Coturnix japonica: one gene and its partner. The protein of the gene in region 1 purifies or fractionates together with the protein of each later gene. This does not show direct contact. Links are inferred from orthologs where the notes say so. Each region holds a gene or a part of one and is shown on either strand. Other genes may lie near its edges.

Region 1 (3,563 bases):
AACAAGATTTCTTTTTGAAAGCTTAGTACTGACAGTGCTTCGGCAAACATATAGGAGATTATTTGGATCTGAAAAGGTTAATTTCATACTTCACATATCAGGAACTGAACTTTTCAACACACTCTGCCTTCCATCTCTCTCAAGTTTCAGTGTAGACAACAAATGACATTTTGGAACATACCCGACATGCTTAGCCCAAATGGGAGTGAGTTAACAGGACAGGGAGAAGTTTCACATTTTCCTGATTTTTATGGACCTCAACCAGACTAATTATACCCCAATATTATTTTAACATTGTTATTCATGGCTGAGTTCATTAAATAACAGCATTCATGCTGGTGCTTTTTAACGTCTCACGCTTGAGGTTATCATCCAAGTTCTCAAGGATTTATAATGTTGCCATAACATTTTCATAAGGAATAAGGCTTCCCATCCAGAAGCAAGCACACATCATACTACAGGTTCCAAACACAGTGAATTAGATGTTTCCTGGTGAACAGAAAGTAAATGTGTACTGAAAGGCCATTTTATTATTGCTTTTCTTTTTTTCCCTTTAATGAAATTTAGAATCCTGTTTGGGGACTGTTTTGCTAATAATATCTCTACCCTTTTGCGAGAAAAGAAATTTAAAACTGAACTGTTACTATGGATATCTTCTTTTTAAATATTAACTTAATAAAAATGCCATATCTGTGTTTGACATGATGCATTGACTCTGTTACAAAGAAGATAAGCTGTCGTGTCATATACCTATTTATTAATGTCTGCAGATTGTGTGTTGATGGTACATATCATGGCAGAGATCCACTTTTAATGCCCTCATGGTATGGTTGGACGGGATGCATCTTTATTATTCTAAGGATACTTGAGTTTTTGTGCTGCTGTGTTACAATACCTCGATTGCTTTTTCAAACAAGCTGGAGGTACAGGCCAATATTTTCTTTCATATTTGACATACAGGTCTAAAAGCCCCTTTTTTTCTTCTTTTATTTATTAGTTCCCCTCTAGTTCCTTACATTTCACCATTCCACAAGAGCTGGGTTTTTTAGAGCTCTCTCTGTAAATACTATCTAATATGCATGCACTCATAAGCAGCAGGTGCTGTGAGCAGTCACAGAATGTTGGGTTTCCATGAATACACTGATTAACATTAATTGAAACTGTTGTTTGAGTTCGCAGAAGAAATGAGACTTTCTTGTAGCACTGTGTTGTAGATTGTGTGGTATATTGTGTATTGCTGTGAGACCCAAGGTGGGTCTTTGGCCCTGGCATCATTGCTCCTCACCTGTGCACTACTAGTTTTGGGTGTTTTATGTGCAATCATTACAATACTGCGATCTGCAGAATCACTTTGTCCAACCAGCCAGCAGTCTGCTTCTTCATACGCTGACTGCTGTGATCCCTTTTCTCAAGTCTGTTGCTAACTGTACATCTATCTCCCAGCTCTGTGCTGGTTTTGGGGCTGCTTTTATGTCTTCTAAACTAGTGGGACGTCACCTCACACAACAAGCCATTTGGTGTGACTATTGAAAGATAGCCAGGTTGCCCTTACTTAGTCCAATACAAATAATTGCTGGTAATTTTTGTCATTCTGTTTCCTTGCGGAATCACAAATAGGAGTTTCTAGGTGACAGCTGGCTCCAGGGCAACTGCAGCATATAGTCAGCAAAGAAGTTCTCACTTATCTGAATACGCCCATCACAATTTGCCAAGGTTGTAAGTTCATCATTTAAACCTGGGATCTTGGCTAAAATCTGGCTTCCTCTGAAATCAGAGAAACCTTTGAGAGTGTAGATGTGGCATGAAGGACATGTATTAGTTAGCATGGTGGGTATGGGTTGATGGTTGGACTACATAATCTCAGAGGTCTTTTCCAACCTTAATGATTCTATGTAACTTAAACATTCTGTATCACGTGTTATTATATTATTTACTGGCAGACATAGTTTATGCCTTGGAATAACAGTAGAGGACCATGCAGAATAAAAGATGATTTTCTTTGGGCTGTCTTTTTATGAATCTTTCAAGATGGCTCCTTGTTCAGTGGAAGGGAGAGCAAATAAGGATTAGAATTCTACTGGAGAAGTCATGGCTGATTTTGAAGCTCCAGTTGGTCAGTGAGCGTATTACCTAAAGCTTTCACTCTGGCAGCTGTTGAAGTCTCTCATCCTCATGATTGCCCTTTTTCTAGGTTTATGACTGATGCTGCTCGACGTGAGCAGGAGTCTTTAAAGAAGAAGATTCAGCCGAAACTCTCTTTGACTTTGTCAAGCACAGTGTCCCGTGGGAATGTATCTACTCCACCTCGCCACAGCAGTGGAAGCCTTACTCCTCCCGTCACCCCTCCAATCACTCCTTCCTCTTCGTTTCGTAGCAGTACTCCAACAGGTAAGCATATACTGTTTGCTTATACCCAAATCAGCTTGCATTTTTTCTGTGTGGCTTTTGAGAATATTTATTTAGAGAACAGCTAAGCTCTGAACACTCTATTATCTTCTCTCTGACGGAGGTATTAATGTACTCTATCTGCTCAGTGTAGCAGTTTCCATGAGTTATGTATTAGTATCTTTTACAGTTTTGATTGAAGTCAGCCAGCAGGCTGAAAAGTCAGCACATTTTGTCGATAACCAAGTTATCCAGATTGTCCCAGGTATAAAAATCCTGGGAAGTTTTTTTCACTGCTTGAAGAAACTGGAAGTTGCTTGCTATGTTGAGCCAGATCTCTTGACTGAAGTCATTCTGGTTTACATTAGCTAGGGATCTTGTTTCAGACAGTAGCGATACACTTCAAGTTAAATTTCATTGTCATGGCAATACTCTTATCTTGAAGGTGTTTGGGACAATTTCAGATGTACCACAGATAGTGGTTTTTTGTTGGTCTGCCACAATCTATGCAGTTTTGTAATAAACAGAATCAACGTATTCCTCTTAGTAAGAAATAGCATTAGTATGCCTGCTTTGATAAATTGCCTTGCCATGTATTTTGTGTAAGCTATTTAACATTTTGGTATTAACTATTGAATGATAAAGGTGTAGTGGTCCATGTTTCACTCTCTAAGTTCTGAAATGAACGGTTTGTTCAGTGTGTCCCTGGATATGTAAAAGGGAAGCATGTTGAGTTATAGCTAAACAACAAAGTCTGAATGTAATACAGAAAATTTAACAAGTAAATTTGTTTTTAATCATCTCCACTTTGGATACAGATGTCAAGGAATTTCTCCTTCCATTTGTTGTGTTTTGTTCAACTTCTACTGAGTGGGCTAATTCATGATGTGGTCAGGTAGCACAACTCTGAATGCCTTTCAGGACCACCGGCTATCTGCTGTTTGAAATACACTCCATTAAACACTAAAGAGAATTTATACTAAAATAATTCTGGTTTTGTTATTTATATAAACTTTCAGTCTTTTAAAGTTATTCAGAATGTTGTTTTACCTGCAGTTAGGAGAAACAGTTTGTTTTGGCTAAGTGAATTTCTAAGTTAACTGAGTCCTGCTTGCCAGGTTATAAATAATAGCCAGCTTCCACTTTCTGCATTCTGTGCTATGAATTTTCCCTTGGAG
Region 2 (4,199 bases), on another chromosome or scaffold:
CTCATGCTCACATAATCACCAGAGAACAGCTGAATGGCAAATACCTAAAAAAATAAAAATACCTAAGCAACACTGCAGGACACTGAAAAGTTCATAGATGTATATTCAGGAGGGAAACAGCTGTTTATGAGGGTGGATAGTGATAGGGCAAGGGGGAATGGTCTTAAAATGAGACAGTGGAGGTTTAGGTTGGATCTTAGGAGGAAGTTTGTCCACCCAGAGGGTGGTGACACAGTGGAACAGGTTGCCCAAGGAGGCTGTGGATGCCCCATGCAGGCATTCAAGGCCAGGCTGGATGTGGCTCTGGGCAGCCTGGTCTGGCGGTTGGTGACCCTGCACACAGCAGGTGGGTTGAAACTGGATGACCACTCTGAGCCTTTTCAACCCAGGCCATTCTACGATTTCCCTCACACTCCTGGAAAGGAAAAAAAGAAGAAAAAAAAAAGAAAAAAAAAAAGAAAAAAAAAAAGCATCTACACTTTATATTTTATGAAGAAAAATGTATGCAAATATGTTTTGAAACGTCTTCTTTTGGAGGAATCCACATTCTTACATTCAAGAATTATTATCATTTCTCATCTTCCAGCTTCGCTGTCTGACCATTCCTTAACAAGAAATAAACTTACTAGAAGTACTAAAACTAAGCTAGGTAATTGTGATGAGCATAGGTTTAAAAAATGCTACAAACATGACAGAGCTGGGCCCACGAGTTCACGTTCAGTGACCACAGAGATGACAAGCCCCTAACAGCAGTGAACTCCTAAAGCACCTCAGCTGTTTACAGCAAAGATGCCAGACAACACCTGCAGTCATACATTCCGAAGTGGAACAATCTTCACGGCCTAGTTCCACTAGGCGAGCCCTAATCAGTGAGAACAACCAGATAAAATCAAACAAAAACTCAACACTATGTAAAAGTAGCCTTAAAGTACCAAACCTTTTGTGACTTAGCACCTCAGTACAACGCACCGGCACTCCCAGGGACGAGCGCCACCTGCCGCGCAGGTGCTGGGTCTGCTCGTCCTGCCGCCACCGCGCGGGCTGCGGCCTGGCTCTGCTCGGCGGAGCGCTGGCTCGCAGGGGCTCAGGTAGCCCCGCCCCTCCCCGCCGCCATCCTCGGCCCCGCCCCGCGATGGGATGGAGGGGCCCGAGGGCGGCATGGTGCCGGGAAGAGGAAGCGTCGGGACGCACTCGGTCGGTGGCGGCGGTCGGGGTCACGAACTCTGACCTTTCACAAGGCCCTGAAAAACAACACAGAACCCCTTTCCCTCCCCCACACGCGCACACGCTCCCCCCGCCCCATAACACAGTTCCACCCCCTGTATCCCTCCGTGGACCCCGTTAAGCTCCCACTGCCACCGCCCCTCGTAGGGGGGGTTTGGGCCGCCTTTGGGCACCGCCACCAACGCCGGCCCGCCCGGGCCCGGGTCAGGGGCGCCGCCGGGCCACGTTTGGCGTCAATTCCTGAGGTAAAAATCGTTTTGTCTTTTTTTTTTTTTTTTTTTTTTTTTTTTTTTCTGAGATGGAGACGGCCGTCTCGGCTTCTTCGTCGCGGCGGGGACTAGGGAGGGGGCATCGGAATCCCGTTCGGGAACACCTCCGCGAGCGGCAAAGGGGAAAGGTAACGCTCGGTTCTGGGGACGTGGGGGCACTGGAACACCGTCCGTCGCTGCGCAGAGGCAGCCGGCGGTGCCGCAGGCCCGGCCCGTGGCTCCCGAAGAGAGGGGCAGATCGTCGTGGCGCTGGGATGATCCGGTACGGTATCCCGGTACGAAGACGCCGTGCTGGGATACGGGCCTCGTGAGGCCGGAGCCGGTCCGGTCTCGGTGAGAGCCGTCCGCCGTCTGGGGGCCGCCGGGACCGCGGTCGTGGAGATGCTGAGCGCGGGACGCGGACAGAGAGGGAAGATGGAGTCTGAGCGGGCGGAGGCGGCGGCGTGAACCCGACCCTTTTACCTTTGCCACCGGGAGGGCGGAGGGGAGGGGGCGGTGGGTACTTTGCATACGGGGCTGAGGCCGCCGCCATCTTACCGGCTGCCACCCCAGCGTCGCGCGCGGTACCCCCAGCTCGACATGAGGGGATACCAGAGGGGAGGGGGGCTAATGGCGGAGGCGGCCGCTGCCCCGCCTGGGACTTGGCTGCCTGCCAGCGCGGCCATCTTGTGCGCGCTCGCGTCCCTCGGGTGTTTTCCTCCGTCCTCGAGGGGCGGTGCCGGCGGTGTGACAGGCGGCCCTCGTGGCCAATGGGCAGCGCGGGTGGGTGTGCCGCATCTCCGATGAGGTCATTGGCTGTGGTGGGCGGCGGGAAGGAGGAGCGTGGCCGCGGGCGCCGCGTCCCCAGGGAAGCTCCGTGATGGGCTGCGGGGGAAAGGGGATGGGCCGCGAGCAGCGCTGCTAGTGGGTGGTGGGGCGGCTGTCCCGGTCTGGGTGTCTTTCTGGAGGTGCTGGGGCTGCTCCTGTGCGGGTCGTTGACTTTGTTCTTTTTCGTTGTAAGAGTTTCTGCTGCCTTCTTACCACCGCTCGTAGCGTAACGCGGGTCCTCAGCAGAGCCGCTCTTGCCGACCCCTGTTTCCCGTTCTGTACTCCAGGCTCCCGCTGGGGCGATGCTGAGCTGCTGCTGGTCGGTACGCAGTGTGCAGAAAGCAGCCCCACTGATCAGTAGGAGGAGGTTTCAGTACAGCTGAACTCGGCTTTGCTTTGTGTCAAACTTGTAGGACTGTTCCCATAAAACACTGAACAGAGTGTGAGGAGTTCTTTGTTACAGGACAGGAGATGAACGTGTGTTCAGTTGGCTGCTGTCCTGTTGTGTTGGGATTGTTTTCCTGGTGCTCCAGGTCATTTTTTTCCTTTTTTTTCCTGTTTTTGTGTTCTGCCTTTTTTGTTGGTTGACTTGGATACTTTTTTTTCCCTCTCTTTTTCTTTTTGAGGGGTTTTGCTAGGCAGCAGAATCTGCTTTTTGTGTTGCTTTCTGTTGAAAGAGTAAAGGATTTTGGTGGATAACAACTCACAACAAGTTTGTTAAGTGACTTACCACAGGAAAACTTGATTGAGTCTTAAAGAGGTGTTCTTAGGAACAAAATCTCATTTTCAATGCTTCCTTCATCCTAAAGTGCTGAGAAAACATGAGCATGTCATGGTTTTTGGTTTTTTTAATGGACTTTAAGAAAATGTCTTCCACTGATATATATGATCATTTACACAACTAGTTTACCACAGTAGGATTTAACTATGAATGAACTGTAACATTTTAAACAGCACTAGCTTTGTAAAAGTTGAGTTTGGAGGGAGGGTGTTGTGCTGGAGACACGAATGTATTTTTCTGTTAAGTGTTGTTAGTAGGTGGTTTGCTATGTTTGTTTTTCCTTTTTAACTTTATGTGGAATGATTGCTTTGCAAGTATCAGCAGAAGGCTGTCAGTGAAACGTCAAATATGCTGCTATTCAGGAATGCAGTTTCATTACCTACACCTGGGTGGTCTTATGATTTCTGACTTTGTAAGAAGAAAGTCAGTGCAGGAATTTGAAACCTTAGTAAAATTTAACTTTGAGGAAACACAGCCCTTATGAGAATCATTAATAAGATACAGAAAATATTTGTTCTTTTTTCTTCTGCATAAAGCTCAAGGTACAGATACCCACAACAGTATAAAGCAGTTCTGTAGTACTCTCATGTCAGACTGACTGTACTACCGCATTATAATTAAAATGTATTTTCTGTTATCCAAAATGGTTTCTAGATGTAATCTAGAACTTTACCTGTACTGTGGTAGATTACTGTATGGGTGATCATGGCAGTTTGTTGGAATGACTCAATAGAAGTTTACTGAAACACTGATTGCAAATTGCTGTTTCCTTGTCCAGGGCATAATCAGGAGCAGTTTATCTGAAGTTTCCCATCCCTTGAGTTCAGGAGAGCACTTACAAGATCTGTGAATTCCACAGATTGCACTAATAATTGATGCTTAAATCAGTTCTTTCTGTTTTATAAAATTAGCATCTTATTCTTGCTGCTTAAATAACAGAGTAAAAAACTTGTATGATAAACTTTATAAAGTAAAAGAATAACTGCCTCTAATAGCAGAATTCAGCTTGCTTTTTGAATACTGTATTTCCTGTATGCACATATTGCATGTATACATGTATATACACTCACGTATCCACACCATATCTTATTTTTTAGATAGATGAAATAGTGTTGTAA

Evidence for each region.
Region 2: the proteins of JAZF1 (region 1) and NR2C2 purify together in Homo sapiens (affinity purification with mass spectrometry; 4 studies listed by BioGRID and IntAct, with this or other methods). This does not show direct contact. The link is inferred for Coturnix japonica from reciprocal best matches to the Homo sapiens genes JAZF1 and NR2C2.

What each region holds. Positions count from the first base shown.
Region 1 is NC_029517.1:30,231,940-30,235,502, reverse strand, and holds part of JAZF1 (juxtaposed with another zinc finger protein 1), read left to right. Parts: intron 1-2,191; coding exon 2,192-2,388; intron 2,389-3,563. UniProt on the Homo sapiens protein: Acts as a transcriptional corepressor of orphan nuclear receptor NR2C2. Inhibits expression of the gluconeogenesis enzyme PCK2 through inhibition of NR2C2 activity.
Region 2 is NC_029527.1:17,099,473-17,103,671, reverse strand, and holds the start of NR2C2 (nuclear receptor subfamily 2 group C member 2), read left to right. Parts: upstream 1-1,356; 5' UTR 1,357-1,469; exon of another isoform or gene 1,470-1,877; intron 1,878-2,030; exon of another isoform or gene 2,031-2,238; intron 2,239-4,199. UniProt on the Homo sapiens protein: Orphan nuclear receptor that can act as a repressor or activator of transcription.